Rattus norvegicus: one gene and its partners. The protein of the gene in region 2 interacts with the protein of the main gene of each other region in a pairwise test. Links are inferred from orthologs where the notes say so. Each region holds a gene or a part of one and is shown on either strand. Other genes may lie near its edges.

Region 1 (5,193 bases), on a different chromosome or scaffold from region 2:
TGCAGACATGTTCACAAGCATGGAACTAAGTGCATACGTATGTAGGTAATGTGTATATATGCATATATATGTATATATAGTATGTATGTATGCATATATATAGTATGTATATATGTATGTGTATATATATGTATGTATATATGTATACACACACACACACATTGGTGATGCGAGTGTATACAAATAGGGCATTTCTGCCCTTTCTTTGCTGATGATATGAAAAGGTGAGGTTTGCCCAGCCAGCCTAGTGATTAGCAAGCAGGGCTAAGGAGCTGGTGAGGATAGTCGTCGGGGGCATTGGGGCCAGTGGGACAGTCATCAAGAGACAGCAGGATTTGGGATTTGTCACCTGCTTCTTGGCTGCTGCATCACTGTAGCATCTGTGCTGGATGTAAGCCGCCCCCAGCACCTGCAGGTTGGGGTCTGAGGCCATGAGGTACTTGACTGCTGAAGGCAGGTCAATGTCATCAAAGCTGTAGAATCAGGGGTTAGTCAGTGGCCAGGCAGACTAAGTTTGGGCCAGACTGTATGATACAGTCCCCTCCCTGCTCCAAGCCCAGCTCCTCACCCACTGCTGAGCCTCTGCAGGGTTCGGTGGCCTGTGTAGCTGTCCAACCCACGTACGTCCGGCAGGTGGCCTGAGTCACCCAGGCTAAGACTGAGGCTACGTACAGATGGGGCTCGGGCCACTGGCTCCAGGCCAGCTCCTGACACTGACCCGGTACCCCCACGGCTTCGGTGGCTGCTCTGAAATCGTTGCAGGGTCCGCATGGCAGGCGCACGGATGGTCCTGCTGGGTGGTCCCTCAGTGGCCTCTGGCCAGTCCAGGCCTCCCGCTCGGCTAGAGCTGGAGCTGGCCTGGCGTTCGTAAGCATAGGCTCTGTAGGTAGAGGCGGCTGCAGGCTCTAGTTGCTCAGACACCACGCTGTAACGGTCGTCCAGGCCCCCCGGCCCCAGCCTCAGTGAGCGCAGGGACAATGTGTCATAGTCAGCTCTGCTGGCTGCCCCACCTCGCTCATGGAAGGACACTGGCCGGGTGGGCATAGGTGGAGTGGGCTGGGCACCCCCATATCCCACAGCCCCAAAGGCACTGCCCCCATTATGGGCAGAACTCAGCCTCCGACTGCAGGTCAGATCCACGGCTGAGCGGGAGGACCAGGAGGCTGGGTTGTAGGCCGGCTTGGCGATGGGCCGGAAGGTCTGTGGGAGGGTATGGCACAGTGAAGGGGTATCTGGGGTTTACTTGGCACCCTCCCCTTCTGATCTGGAGCTCCCAGCCTCCCCTGTAGAGCCTCCCCCTCAGTGCAGGCTGCAGAGCTCACTCACCGAGGTCTTGTCTCCACTCATACCCTGGGATCGGGAGCTGAAGCCACTCTGCATAGTGTGGTATTGACCCCTGGGCAGTCCTGTGGACAGAGACAGTGACAGCCATGACACCGTGACCGATAGGAAAGTGTTGGCTTTTTTTCTTCTTTCTGCCAGAGGTCTCTGATCACAGTCCTGGGTGTGACATCAGACGCAGGGCAGGGAGACCAAGTCAGTTTTGGAGTTAATCCCTTTTCCATGGTTCTGCCATGGCTGCAGCTTGACTTCATCCAGTCTGTTCTGAGAGGTCCTCTTTCCCTAGAGCTCCAGACTGCCTTCTCTGCTCAGAGGCGTTCAGACAACTCGCCCTGCTCACCTCTGGACTGCCTGGAGAATATGCTAGGGTCTCCATCAGCTGCCCAGTCCCTGCCAGAGCAGAGCCAGCCCAACCTGCCTCAACGCACCGAGACCTCCACTGAGCGCCTCTTGTGCCCAGACTGAGTCTGTGCTACACTCACAAGGGAGTGACACTGTACAGGTCAAGGATCCAGTCTCTCTGGATCAGTCTGCTCAGATCGGCAGTGGTAGAGCCACCTGGTAGAGCCCGAGGCAGGCACCACACCTACCCCATCCAGCTGCACATTAGCTGAGGACTGGGTGACAGCCCAGCTCTATGGTCAGTGGACAGAAAGGTGGGCGGTTGGGGAGGGAGGGCTGGTCAGAAGTTTGGAATGATATGTAGATGAATGGATTGGTGGGAGAGAAGGTGAAAGAGGATTACATGGGTGAAAAGAAAACAGGCATCTGGGGCCTGGAGAGATGGCTGGCTGCCCTTCCAGAGGTCCTGAGTTTAATTCCCAGCAACCACATGGTGGCTCACAACCATCTGTGATGGGATTGGATGCCCTCTTCTGGTGTGTCTGAGGACAGCTACAGTGTACTCACATACATAAATAAATATTTAAACAACAACAACAACAGGAAATGGGCGACTGAATGAACAGAGAGAATGGTACAGAGTAGAGAGGCAGAGGCGAGGCCACACAGGAAACATCATCCCAAGGGTTGATGGTGACAGTGGGCAGGCCTTGGGTGGACTCAGCCTTTGCCAGGGCTCCTCTGGTTTTGGGAAGAGCTCCTTGAGCAGAGTAGCTACTACAGAGGTCAGTATGAGTAAGGGGCCTTCCTTTGTACCTTCCAATTCCGCTCAGGGGGTGGACAGTATGATGCTCCCCAGACCCACCCAGGTTAATGAGGCTTCTGGGCAGGGGCTGTTAACCCTTTGACGCTAGTGAGGGCCAGCCTAGGGGGCACACCCCAGCCTGGGGACCTTACGCCCACCCCCAAATTACTATCCTCCTCCCCCTAATTAGCGGGGTAGCCAGGTGGTAATTAACCCCTCCCTGTGCCCTCCCCCACCCCATGACCCCTGGGCATCAACTTGGCTCCAATAAGATTTTGGGCAGCAATTTAGTTCCTGACCTGCCCCTTCTGCCAGACAACATCACGGGACCACTGTGAGCTGAGGTTTGGACCTCCGAACAGAGGTTCATTGTACTGTCTAAACTTAATTCCTGTTGTCGTAGCCTTGCAGGTATGGAAATGTTTCTGGAGTGACTGCCTTGAGCCTAGCATGTCTGAGTGACCCTCCAACACCCACCCACCCACGCGAGCGTGCGCGCGCACGCACGCACACACACACACACACACACACACACACACACACACACACACACACACACACACACTCTGCCCCTGAGGAGTACCCTGTGGGCTATTCTCATGAAATGTATCTGGGTCACTCCTGGTAGGCCCAGTTCTGCAATTCCTCAGGGAGCCCCTGCTCCAGACAGACCTGGGCTCTATCCAGGACCATCCCTCTCTCGCATGCTACTGTTATACTCACTCCCATTTGGTTAGGAGGCACTCTGGCCTCTCTGAGACCTCAAGTATGCCTGTGTTCTGTGGTTCTGGGAGGGAATGTGTTGGGGGGGGGTGTTGTGACAGGTGGGCCTGGCTGCTTACCTTGTGCCTCCCAAGTCTTTCCAACTTAGGGAGTGGATAGGCCCTGCCCCAGGACCCCTGTCCTGGCTGGGGAAGGAGGGATGCCCCACCCAGGCGGCTCCCTATGCCTGCTGGGGCGGGGCAGTGACTCAGAGCAGGCCTCTGTAAGGTGAGTCAAAGCCTGAACCCCCCGAGCTTGTAGGCTTCTGCCCCTAGCACCATCACTCCTGCCCTAGCCACCTCCACCGGCCACTGTCACCATTACCAATTTCATCTCCCTCTGTTGCCTACCATGCCCAAAGTTGGCCTACCTCTGGTGCTCTCCGCGGAGCCATCAAGCTCAGTAGACCCATTGTGCCGCGACTGCTGGCCCAGCTGCAGGAGGCGGGCTCGGACTTGCTCCTGGACTCTGGCAGCTCGAAGCCGATCAGCCTCCGGCCCTTCAGCACCCCGGCGATCCAGCTGCAGGTCCGAGGGCAGCGCCAGGGAGCAAACACCAGCCTCAGGCTGCAGGGCAGACAGCAGGAAGTTACCTTCCTGCATAGTGACAGGGGCGACTAGCCAGCCCACCTGTCCTGGGCCTCTCCCCGGTCTTGTCCCTCGAGGCCTGGTTCCAGTCTCTTCCTGGCTGGCTCTCTTAGACAGACGCCTGCCCGCCCAGCCCAGAGCTTGGCTGGGGGCGGGGACACCTGGGCCAGGTGGGAGGGAGGGGCCTCTGCCTGCTTAAGGTGGAATTTGGGCGGAAGAACTGGCCCTGCGTGTCCTCGAGTCGCCTGGCCTTCCCTTTTCTCCTATCCCAGGACAGGGCCACAGGGACGTGGGTTCTACTTGCTCTCAGTCTTCCAAGCCCAGACCAAGCCCCGTGGGGGCCAGCGTTCTTAGTATGAGAGTAGGGCAGGAAGCCTGTGGGGGCCTGTCACTACAAGCCATACGAGAAGGAGTGTCCCAGCCTGGGGGTTGGGAGCTCTAGAGCATCAAAGATCAAGCAGCCTCCAAGACAGCTGGACCCGGGCTTGGTGAGGTCCCAGCAAGGTTGGCACCCAGAGACAGTTTTCGGTTTATAGAGTCCAGGTAAAGGATAGAGAACTTAAGGGCTGGAGTTTTAGGGTTCAAAGCAGCTCCATGATGGCCCTAAACCTGGGCCTGACAACTCCATAAAAGAACCCAGTGAGGTAGACATATGTCCACCCCCTGATCTGTAAACCCTGAAACTCACCCCAGCCTCTACCTGTACAGAGGCTTCCGAAGGGCTGCTTGGCCCTCTCTGGCACCTCTCCTCAGCTTCTGCCCCCCAGGCCTGGGGTGGGAGGCCCGTTCCCAACATATGAGTCAGGGCAGGCAGGCGGGGCCGCCCCAAGGGGTTGACTCAGAGGGGCCTAGGCTCATGTCAGCACCTGCCATGCTGGGGGGCCAGGAGGTTTTGGGGGAGAGCTAGGTTAGAGAAAGTTGGAAGGCTGGAAGTGAGGGGCACCAAAACTTGTTCCTACAAGGTCTCCCAATGTGAGTTAGGCCTGCCATCCAGGTAGGTTGGGAAGGTTAAGAGGCAAAACTAGGAAAGTTGGCTTATGGGGTCAAGTTGTCTCACATGCCTGGGCACTTCCCTTAAGCATTCCTGGGTCTCTATCCTTAGGCTGCAGCTCTTTCTAGAACCTAGTCTCTGGGCTCAGCCTGAGCTCTCTGTCTCACACCAGGCCCTTTAAGAGTCCTGGTCTCTTAAAGACATTAACAGAGGGTGAGTAGGCGCAGAATCCTGGAAACGGAGAGTGCTTGGAGAAAGACAGCATTAGGGATAAGATCAGGGCGAGTAGGAAGGTCTGGAGGATGGGAGTCAGAGGTCAGAGGTTGTCGGGGAGAGAAGCATGGAGAGGGAAGCCCCCCACACCC
Region 2 (6,275 bases):
ACACGGAGCTAGAAATTTCAGACATCCAGGAACAATGAGATCATTGATGATATGATTAAACCACGGTATTAATGCAAGAAAAAGCAGTGAAGCGTTGATTCAGGCCACAAGGTGAATGGAAGGCGTAAATGTCACGCTGAGTATGTGACATACATACCCACTGATTCCATTCAGGACACCGTAGAAAGGACAAGATAGGGACAGAGCAATGAGCACTTGTGAGAAGCCAGAGTTGATTAAAGAAATCGACCTCGGAAGAGAGCATTGCATTTAATTGCAGTATGCTGGTGGTTATATGCCTAGTTTCTGTGTCAGACTTAACAAGTTGCAAGCTTTTAGGGCTGATTTTCTTTAAAGTGTGTGTGTGTGTGTGTGTGTGTGTGTGTGTGTGTGTGTGTGTGTGTGTCAGAGGCCAAAGAAGGCATCAGATTCCCTAGATCTGGAATTACAGGTGGCCTGACATGAGTGTAGGAAACAGAACCCCAATCCTGCACAAAAGTAGTATACATTCTTGATGGTTGACCCATCTCCTCCAGCCCACAAGTTAATAATATGTATATGTGTGTGTTATATATTTATGTATACTATATATGTAAATGTGTATATATATTTATATATAATATTTTTTCAATGAATTTCAATTAAACATAAAAGTCTGGCTTGAGACATTGAAAAGGGCCTCTGAGGCACGAATGAAGTCCTAAGTTTGATTCCAAGCATTGGAAAGAGAAAGGAGAGGAGGGAAAGGAAACATTGGGTTGGTCTGATAGGGTTCTTTGAAGAACTCATTCAGAAGTCATTCGGCTGTGTCAGCACATCAGCTCCACTCGGACGGACCACTCAAGTACTTCAGCACCCAAGCCCAACTTGAATTCTCTTTTTCAGACAGAGTCTCATTGATTAGCCCTGTGTGGCCTCAACTTCCTGCTTCAGACTGGAACCTGTTAGGCATACAGGTATGTATAGTCACGCCTGGCTCCAGCTGCATTTTAACCTGCACGTAGGTGCACTGTGTGCGTCCAGTGGCCACAGAGGCCAGAAGACAACGCTGGATCTCTATAACTGGGGTTACAATGGTTGTGAGTCAGCCCGTGGGTTCTAGGAATCAAACACAGATCCTTTGAAAGAAGAGCAAGTGCTCTTAACCACTGACTTATTTATAATGTTTACTTCCCAGGATCCAAACCTATGAGTCCAGTTTACCAGTCGTCCCACATACCTGATGAATCCATTCAATGCTACTTGTAACTCAGTACCGTGGTATCGATTTGATGTGTACTTTTCTTTCCAGTAATTCAAAGTTGGCCTATATATGTGTTTATTGTCAAAACTATAGAAACAATTTCTGAGCACGTTATACTATTTGTTTAATTCTTCTTGAAGTTATTTTTAATAACAGAGTAAGAAAAAGAAGACTCTGACCATTGACCCAGTTCGTCACATTCATGTCTGAATAAACTCATGAGGAGCCTTTAGCAAAATTTTAACTGCTGCTGTCTCATCTTTTTCCAGTACTATGCTGTGTCGGCAGCAGAAGTCTCTATGATCATTTCTTTTTCATTTACATACGTCAGGGTTAGCATAGTAGGAGGAACACCCTGAGCCCAGAATCCTCAAGACAGCAGAGGTTTTGTGGCTATTCGAAGATCAAAAAACACCAGCAAGTTTATCTTTAAATTCCTCCCTCTTACCCAAAACCTTTGTTCCCAGGGACACTTATCCAGTTAGTTTGGACCTAAATGGATTTGAAATTCAAATTAAATGTACATTGAAATAGTGACGGGTTTGGTGGTTTTAGCCCCAGGTAAAGCCCCAGAGGTTGTTCTGGAACACACAGATGGGAGGGAGGTGTCAATTCCCTAATTGGTTCTTGGCTGGGTCAATAAAGACCAGAACTAGTCTCTATTACTGCAGTTTAAGACTGAAATGGCAGGGTTGGGGATTTAGCTCAGTGGTAAAGTGCTTGCCTAGCAAATGCAAGGCCCTGGGTTCAGTCCCCAGCTCCAGAAAAAAAAAAAAAAGACTGAAATGGCAGGGTTGGGGATTTAGCTCAGTGGTAAAGTGCTTGCCTAGCAAATGCAAGGCCCTGGGTTCAGTCCCCAGCTCCAGAAAAAAAAAAAAAAAAGACTGAAATGGCAGGGTTGGGGATTTAGCTCAGTGGTAAAGTGCTTGCCTAGCAAATGCAAGGCCCTGGGTTCAGTCCCCAGCTCCAGAAAAAAAAAAAAAAAAAAAGACTGAAATGGCAGCCGGATGGTGGTGGCGCACACCCTTGATCCCAGCACTCAGGAGGCAAAGGCACCCGATCTCTGTGAGTTAGGGAGCAGCCTGGTTTACAGAATGAGTTCCTGGAAGAGCCAGGCAGCACAGAAAAACCCTGTCTATAGGAAACAAAAGAAAAGAAAGAAAGAAAAAGAACGAAATGACTGTTAATCTCAGCACTCAAGGAGACAGGGCAGGCGCGTCTTTAATCTCAACACTTGGGAGACGAGGCAGGTGCATCTCTGATTTCAAGGCCAGGTCTAGAGAGTGAGACCCTGTCTCAAACACAAAAAAAACAGAGAGTAAAAGAGGAGAAAAGCAACTAGCCACATTACAACAACGCATGAGACAAAACACAAGGAGTGTGTATCCACAGACATGTGTGTACAATCCCTATGTAAATGCGTCTTGTTTTCAACCGTGATTTGGTCAGAGCTGCTCTGCTATGTAGATGCTTAACTCTATTTAGACAACTCAGTATTTCCCCAAACACCAAGTCTCTCTAGTCTGTTTCTGAATTAAGAAACAGGCCTTTTTTTCCTGCTCCTAGAAAACATGAGGCCACATAAATCAGCTGGTGATTCAAAAGGGCAGGTCTGCCCCACTTTTATTTCCACTGAAACATAAATGATGTTTAATGACCACTTCATCTTTACAATCCAACAGCATTTTCTCACTCAAGACTGCCCCCAGGGCAAGGAGGTTTGCCCAAAATCCCTCTCTAAGACTTCTGTATGTAATAAACACACACACACACACACACACACACACACACACACACACACATGATAAATACAAAGCTATACTTTCTCTTCTGTCGAGCCACGGTTGGGAACGGCCTCTTTTTCCCTGTTCAGTCTCGTTCTTGACTGTTTTCTATTCTCACACTTTTTTCCTTTCTTTTTCACGCCACATTTAATTTAGCTTACCCTGAATTTTGTGTAGCCTTGTAAGCACCTTAAGTCCTCTCTACAACAGGTGAGGAATAGATAAACTATCTTTCTATACATCCACAAAGACAGTCATTTTCCCTTGCACTAGATAAAGCCTTAAAATTTTAACTCCACGTCAACACACAAATTATCCAAGTCCACGAATTCCTTCTGGCTTTGTTGGTTCTCTCTTCACAAATACTTAAGGCTGCATACAAGTGGCACAAGTGACACACACGATTTAAGTTCAGAGGCTGATAATAGAAACCAAATTGTTTGCACAAATAAACTGCTCACTGCGCAAGTTTTATATTAAAAGAATGTGAAGTCCCTGGTGCCTCGTGTACAGTTACTCAAATAATAAAGGTCCTGTTACCCTGGAGTTTTTAAATGCTCTGTGTAAGACTACTGAGGCTTGGGCACCGGCTCACAAGAACTGTTTTCACGCTGTCTTTAATGTCACTATCAAACACTCCAAATAGCAGAACTGAGCTTCTGCTCAACTAAGTCAGCCTGGGCTGTTACACAAGGAAAAAAAACTGTTTGAACATTGCATTTGTATCTAAGTCTGAAATGCCTGCAGATCCATTCTGAATGGTAGATTTTTAAAATCTGAGCTTTCACAAAGTCTCAACCTCAGGATAACTAAAAGGAGACTTCCTTATAAAAGTCCTAAGTGCACAACCTAGTTCCTAGTCATCCCATTTTAGAGAAATCATGTCTCTTCGTTCCCCCAAAGTCATCTAACCAGGCAAATAATCTGCCCATAATGGGGTTTGCCTTATGGCAAAAGTCTAATTTTAAAAAGTTGACACTTGACTCACCTGTGGCGGGACACAGTTTGGCCCACAGAGACACTGAGCCACTGCCTAAGCAGCTCCTTGTGTTTATTAAGCCGGTGCCACGGTTGTGGCTCACAATTTGGCTTATGACGACTCTGTGAGCAAACCGCCTGACAAGCACCCTAGTGTATTTCAGGATGACTGACAGGGCACAGTGGCTCAAGCGAGAAGGGGGATGGGTGCTCTTAAAGCAACAAGCCAGCAAAGACAAAAATCAAACATCAGACTTTAGTCTTCAAAGGTGCAGTGTGAAGTCATCCGTGATCAGCCTGAACACAACTTTCAGGCACACTGTACACCCAAGTCACCCAAAAGCCAAAATGGAGCATATACAAGTAGAGATAAAGAATTCACAGCAGGCAAGCTTTGTAGTTCCTGAAACTATGAAGCCTATGAATTACTAAGAATATTCCAATCCCTCTTTACGGAAATTAAATCAAGGAACCAAGAGAAAGAGATCTTACAACAGCAATGTAAAAATAGCTGATAGTTAACTTAAGCCACGTGCGGTGGCACGGGCCTTTAATCCCAGCACTGGGGAGGCTGAGGCGGGAGAACCTCGGTGAGTTGAAGGCCACCTTGGTCTACATAGTGAGTTTCAGGACAGCCAAGGCAATAAATTGAGACCTGTACTAAATTAAATAAAGTAATTTGATAGAGCTAGAGAAGTGGCTCACTGGTTAAGAGCACTGGCTCCTCTTCCACAAGCCCTACGTTCAGTGCCCAGCATTCGAACAGCAGCTCACAACCATCTGTAACTCTAGTCTCAGGAGATCAAATGTCCTCTTGTGGCTTCCATGGGCTCTAGAGCGCACATGGTGCTCAGACATACATGTGGAAAAAAAACACCATATGCATAAAACAAATAATTTTCAAATGTTAATTAAATATCAATCAAGTAATTTAAGTAATAGAAATTGTTACTAGAGATAGAAGCAAGGCATTCATGCATTTCTTCCTACTGTATGCTTTCCCTACCATCGACTTTCCTGGTTACAAAGTAGAACAGAACACTTGGAAATTCTAATTATGGTTATTTTTATACCAGCTTCTCTTGGGAATATATTTAATTAATGCGTTAGCTTAATTCTTCACATTTACAAATTTTTATATTATTTTTCAATACTTTCTACTTTTCAATTCTTTGATTCACTTAGTTTTTTTTTTAAAGTCACTCATTCTTTTAAATGCAATCCCTCCCTTTGCCAGTTGAGGGTGTCATTAGATTCTAAATATCCTCACTAGTACACTGAATGATATTTATTCTCATACTTCAGTAGGAACTGCAACAGAACATCTCCATTTTCCTTAGGAAAACTTACTAGGAAATATCCCAGTTTGTCTGGCCTGTATGAATTTGATTTGTAGTCTGCTTAACGTACATTTTCTAACTCCCATGCTCAATTATTAGTAATTAGCCCATATCTAGGAGAAGCTACAGGTTAATTATAGGGCAGACAGTTACTGGTATGATAGTATAATTATGTGTCTCTTGAGCACACAATGTTGTAACTAACAAATTTCTCATGCAACCTCCAGAGTCCTCGTTTTACAACTAAACACTCTGTTTGGAGGGATGAACATCCTTTTGCCTGATTCACTCTGAAAGTACAAACTTGGCACATGCCTTTAATCCCAAGCACTTGGAAGGCAGAGAAAGGTGGATTTCTGTAAGTTCGACGACAGCCTAGTCTGCAGATCGAGTCCTAGGCAGCCAGAGCCACAGAGAAACCCTTTCTCGAAACAAAACAATAACAACAACAACAACAACAACACTCTCCATGCATAACGTGCTTGCTTAGCAAGTATAAGGAACACCATTTGGATCCCAAGTAAATGTCTGAGCATGGAGGCCCGCCTGTGGCTCCACTGCTGGGAAGGTGCATGTTGGGGGTCCCTGGGCAGGCTGGCTAGCTAGGCTAGACATAAAGGTGAACTCTGGGTTCAATTGGGAGGTCCTGCCCCAGTGAATTGGATAGACAGCCATTGAGAAAGATACCTGATGTCAACCTCAGGTTTCCATGCAGACACACCTCCGCACCAATGTGTAAACACACCCACACACATACACACACACACACACTCACACACACACTCACTCACTCACACACACACTCACACACTCACACACACACACTCACTCACACACTCACACACACTCACACTCACACACACAGACAAACACACTCACTCATTCACACACACACTCACTCACACACACTCACTCACACACACACTCACA
Region 3 (5,245 bases), on a different chromosome or scaffold from region 2:
TCACACTTGCCCAACTGAGACATCACACAAGCCCATTAAAGATTCTCTTAATGCGGATCATTTTGAACCCTCTTTGTAGACCAGGGTGGCCTCTAACTCAGAGAGCTGCCTGCCTCTGCCTCCTTGAGTGCCGAGGTTAAGGTTAAAGGCCCGTGTCACCACTGCCTGGCTGCCTGCTCCAGCACTTTTTAAGAACTGTCTCGAACGGACCATCTCACTGGCTTAAATACTGACATTCCTCAGCTGTTTAAGCTACAAAGTTTATTTAATCTCTCCAACCCAAGATAGATAAAGCTAATGAACCCACTTAGATACAGGGTGAAAAGTATACTAGCTGGCCTAAGGTCATACAAAGATTAAGGGGAGAACCCAAACCAGGCCTTCTAATTCTAAACAGAAGAGAACCGGGAACACTCCATCTTTTGTAGGGGGAGAAATCCCAACCTAGCACAAAGCCTATGAAATGCTTTACAAACATCTTATTACTATGTTGAGGCAAGAATGAATAATCCTGACGCTGAGTTGGCTGGCTAGTGAAGGCGTCAGTCCTTTCCCATGCTTCCCCCTGACTCACCTGTTGGACAGGTAGGGGGAAGGGGAGAATAATGAGTCTTACCTGCTCAGGGCTAGGGTGGGGCAAGTAACGCCCCACCTGTTCCATTGGCTTTTGCCTTAGTCTTACTGACAGCCCTCTGTCCAATCATAAGGAAGAAACTTTCTATTTGCCAATAGATGCAGAGTGAGGATGAGACCTCAAGTTGGCGTCCACCCCAGAGTCGACTGGCAGTCCCTGGGGCCAATGGTGAGCGCATAAACAGAGGCGGCCGTGGTAGAGGTCCCGGCGTGAGGCTCCGCCCCTCAATAGGATAGTCAGGCTGGGCAGCCAGTGAGATAACCTCAGAGGGTGGGAGTCTCCCTAGGGGGCGGAGCTTCAAGGGGGCGAGAGGTGTGGCTTGGCTGTCAGGTCCCTTTGCCTTTTGTTCGGTTACTGAGTTGCTGCCTTGGCCAGAGTCCGGAGCAGCCGCCGCCCGAGCGCCCCGAGCTCAGTTCGCTGCCTGCGCCGGCTGTCTCCCGGCCAGACCCGACCCCGACCCGGCTCGGCCCGGCTCCACGCTCAGGTACACCGGATAGGGGTACGTATCACTGAGGGTAGAGTAGGGCAAGCGGCCGAGAGGTTGGTTCCAGCGGTTTCAGGGCAGGTGAGGGCGGGTGCCAGGGAGTGCATCCTACACCAGCGACAGGGGGCGCACTGGGGTCCGGGGCACGGGACCCCTGGGACAAGCGATCTGGGTTGGAGCGCCCCTCCAGGCTCGGTGAACCGCAGGTCTGAGAAGGGCGGGGAGGAACTAGGGCAGGTGCCTCGGAGTTCGCGCCTCCCCCAGGGCCCGCGGAGCTTGCCCGACGCGGCGTCGCTGACTCTCCCCTGGAGCTGACCGGGCAGACTTTGACCCGCTCCGCCTGGTCCCAGATCCCACGGTGACAGGAATTTACCGCTCGGGAAACTTGCTGCCTAGTCTCTTTGGGGCCACCCTCACCCCACCCCACGCGTCATCCTCGCTTTCCCTCCCTCCCTACTCCCCCAGGCCTGGGTGGGGCCCTATTGTCTGCGCCCAGCTTACCCAACTGTGGGGGCCGAGTGCACATTTTCCCAGAGACGCGATTCCCACCTGCTGAGCAGAGCAGGTGAGCGCTTGGAGGACCGAGGCCCTGCCCTGTAGCTCCGAGCTGGACCTGTGGCGCCTCCCTCCGCTCTAGTGTACGCCGGTCTATGGCTTCTCTTACGGAGGTGGATGGGGTGACGGGGGAACTGGTGAAGGGTCTGGGCTCAGTGCCCTACCGATGTCTGTCTGACCTGGTGGCATGGCCTGGAGTCTGGGCCGGTAGAGAAAATTAAGAAACACTCGCCCAGATTTTAGTAGCTTGTGGTTTCCAGAGTGTTGGTAGGGAAACAGCGATATCTTTTGATTTCTGCAACCCATTATTGTTGAGAAATCACTCCAAACAAACTTTCCAGGAGAAAGTAACCGTGGGGGCCTTTTCTAGGATTTTCCCCGTCTCCTTGTTGAGAGCTGATTCAAGGCTTGGTGGTACTTCTTAGAGGAAAGCCTCTTCCCTGGTCAGCTCCAAGCTGAACACAGCCTGTGCGCTTTGACCCGGTTCTCCCTGCCCCCACCTCCATCCTGTTTGCTAGGCCCCTAAGGCCCGAGGTAGGGACCAATGGGGGTGGGTGGGGGCGTTGCTGAAAAGGGAAGTGTCTTCTTCCTTCCCTTTTCGCATCCTCACGGGACCACCACACCCCCTTATATGAGGCCTGCTAAGTGCCTCTCCTCCCAAGCTCTGCCCCTTCCCCAGGAATGGGGTTGGGGCAGGGCTGGGCCAAACTAGGAAGATTGGGAAGAGTGATTAATCTTTCCCCAACTCCCCCGTTCCATCCCCCAGCTTATTTAGCTGGCTGACCATTGAGGCAGGGTAGCATAGGGCAGGAATGTTGCTTGCTGTTCACTGGGTTTGAATTATGAAGGTGCGTCCTTTCTAGAGGACTTGCCAGAAGTCCCTCCTCCACCCACTCTTTAACTGAGTGTTTGGCGGGGAAAGTGGGACAGGAGGAAGTCTTTGCTATGGAAGGCTTCTGCCATGCCAGGCACCCTCAGGGTGAACAGTGTGAGCCCTCCCCTTGGTTCCCTGTGCTGAGAGCTCCTCTCCAGCTGGAATTGTCAACTTCTACTCGGCTTGCTGCACTCTTCTGTACAAATCTGAAGATTGGCCTTTTCATAGGCATTTGGAGTCCAGTCTTCTTGGGGGGACAGAGCAGGAATGACAACGCTAGCGGGGGGGGGGGGCAGAGGGAAGATGGGGTGGGGGTCGTGAGCACTGTTTGCTCTGATTCTCCTGGAAGCTGAGGTGGTGCTTGGTTGTGAATAGAAGAGTGGGGGTGGGAGACATATCCCCCGTAATCTCGCCTTAGGTCCTGTGGTTGGTAAAATATGTGTGACCACCTCTAGGAAGAACTGGGGGCATTAGTTTTAGGCTCATGTCCTCTCCGTGTCAAGGAGGAGGAGGGGTAGGCATTGTCATTAGGTGAACTAAATGAATAGTTTAGCAAATCTGGTTCGTGGCTCTGGTGAAAAGACAGTACTGAGGAAGAAGTAGGGCTATGAGCTGCCCGGCCCAAGCTGGCTTCTGACGGACAGGAGGGAGGGGAAGCAAAGGTAGGATCCGATTAGTCATTTCTCACCAGATCAAGTCTGGGCTTGGGTGACAGAAGCCTCCCCCGCACCCGAGCTCCACCCCATTCCCTCTGGAGCCGCCGTCTGGCCTGCTAAGGTTGAGCTTGGAGAATGCAGCCTGTGGGAACGGAAGGTCAGGCGGGGCCTGCTTGACTGTTTTCCTTCCTGGGGGCCCACAGGTCATTGCCTATGAGAGGGAGGCCTGTCGTCCTGCAGAGCTGCTTTAGGACAAGGTGACACATTTGGCTGGTCCACAGAAGGACAGTGATCTAGGGAGACAGTCTAAGGGGTCAGCTCTGAGAACAGGGACTTGGACTGAGATAGTTTGAATCCCTGAGCAGTGTCTCCTTACCTGTGCAGCCTGCGTCAAAGCACCTTCCTGGCTCAGCGACCTCAGGAATTAATAAACCTAGCTACCCAGAAAGTACTTGACTGATGGTAACTCAAAGCCAGAAGACTGTCTGGTACCAAGCGCCACTAACCATGCTCACAGAGGCAGGCGCACTTTTTTTTTTTTTTAAAGATTTATTTATTTATTTTATGTATATGAACACACTGTAGCTGTCTTCAGACATACCAGAAGAGGGTATCAGATCTCATTACAGATGGTTGTGAGCCACCATGTGGTTGCTGGGAATTGAACTCAGGACCTCTGGAAGAGCAGGCAATGCTCTTAACCACTGAGCCATCTCTCCAGCCCGAGGCAGGCGCACTTTAATGTCTTCTTCAGAAACTCAGGGAAGGATAGCAACTTGCCCAGTGTTGCTAGACTCAAGAGAGGGCTAAGCTCAGACCTCATTCTGCTGTTAGGCTCTACTACAACTCTGGAAGGATTTCTTTTTTCTTTCCCCTTTTTCTTTTGGCTGCTAAGGACCAAATCCAGGGCCTTGTGGATTTGCACGTAGGCAAGCACTTTCCCATGGGATCCATCATCGGCCCTGGATGGAAGTTGTATCCCCCCACTGTCCTTTAATTTTTTTTTTTTCGGAGCTGGGGACCGAACCCAGGGCCTTGCGCTTGCTAGGCAAGTGCTCTACCACTGAGCTAAATCCCCAACCCGCCCCCCCCCCCCCCCGTCCTTTCTTGACAGTCTCTTGTAGCCTAGGCTAGCCTCTGAGGTTGACCTTGAACTACTTCCTTTCTTTTTGATGACAGGGTCTCAAAGTGCAGCCCTGACTGGCCTAGAACTTGCTGTATAGACTGGAGAGGGGAGGGTTTCAAACTGCTCCCCGGGATAACAGGTGCGTGCCACCATGCCCAGGCAAACTTTATAAAACATTCATCATCATCATCATCTTTATGTATGTATGTATGTATGTATGTATGTATGTATGTATGTATGTATGTTGTGTGTGCCTGTGTGTCTGAGCATGCACAAGACCTCTGTGGAGATCAGAGAACAACCTTCAGGAGTTTTTTTTTTCCTTCCACCCTTTAGCCCAATCAGCCATCTGTCAACTCTTCAGACTTTGAACTTGCCATCCTCCTGCCTCTACCTCTCAAGTGCTGGAATCACAGGCATGCGGCACTGTAGCTGGCTTATACCGTGCTGGGGGGTCGGACCCAGGGCTTCCTATAAGCTAGGCGACCGCTCTACCAAGGAAGCTACCTCTTATCCCTAAATGGAAGTTTTTTTACTGCCCCTTTTGGAGGGCCTCAGCTCCAAGGATAGAAGGGAATTTAGGAGAGCCCTGCTAGACGTGTGGGGGTGGTGAAGGCGGGACAGGTTTGTCAGGTGGGAGTGACTCATCCCCTGGCTGCCAGTACTCTGAAGCCTCACCGGCTGCCCGCTCGCCTTGGTCGCTGTGGTAGGTGGTAAGGCAGCTCCTCCAGACCAAGAGCTGAGAGGGTCTAAGTTAGGGGAGACCAGAGGGAAGGACAGCATGGTTCAGAGCTTTCTAGGCTGGACCCCGGATAGGAGGTGGGAGCTACCTGCTTCACTAACTAGTGTCTGGGGCTTTGCCAAGTTTAAGTGGGCATGGGCGGGGGCTGAGGCAGGGGAGACACATGAGTCAGAT

The links. The genes of interacting proteins can lie anywhere in the genome.
Region 1: the proteins of Ctnna3 (region 2) and Pkp3 interact in a two-hybrid assay, tested with the Homo sapiens proteins (2 studies listed by IntAct). The link is inferred for Rattus norvegicus from reciprocal best matches to the Homo sapiens genes CTNNA3 and PKP3.
Region 3: the proteins of Ctnna3 (region 2) and Jup interact in binary tests that used the Homo sapiens proteins (3 or more experiments, as listed by UniProt). The link is inferred for Rattus norvegicus from reciprocal best matches to the Homo sapiens genes CTNNA3 and JUP.

The regions. Positions count from the first base shown.
Region 1 is NC_086019.1:205,617,717-205,622,909, reverse strand, and holds the start of Pkp3 (plakophilin-3), read right to left. Parts: upstream 3,949-5,193; 5' UTR 3,853-3,948; coding exon 3,621-3,852; intron 1,407-3,620; coding exon 1,327-1,406; intron 1,201-1,326; coding exon 569-1,200; intron 474-568; coding exon 350-473; intron 1-349. UniProt on the Homo sapiens protein: A component of desmosome cell-cell junctions which are required for positive regulation of cellular adhesion. Required for the localization of DSG2, DSP and PKP2 to mature desmosome junctions.
Region 2 is NC_086038.1:25,133,882-25,140,156, forward strand, and holds the start of Ctnna3 (catenin alpha-3), read right to left. Parts: upstream 4,118-6,275; 5' UTR 4,016-4,117; intron 1-4,015. UniProt on the Homo sapiens protein: May be involved in formation of stretch-resistant cell-cell adhesion complexes.
Region 3 is NC_086028.1:85,823,482-85,828,726, reverse strand, and holds the start of Jup (junction plakoglobin), read left to right. Parts: upstream 1-1,297; 5' UTR 1,298-1,683; exon of another isoform or gene 1,684-1,756; intron 1,757-4,387; exon of another isoform or gene 4,388-4,468; intron 4,469-5,245. UniProt on the Homo sapiens protein: Common junctional plaque protein. The membrane-associated plaques are architectural elements in an important strategic position to influence the arrangement and function of both the cytoskeleton and the cells within the tissue.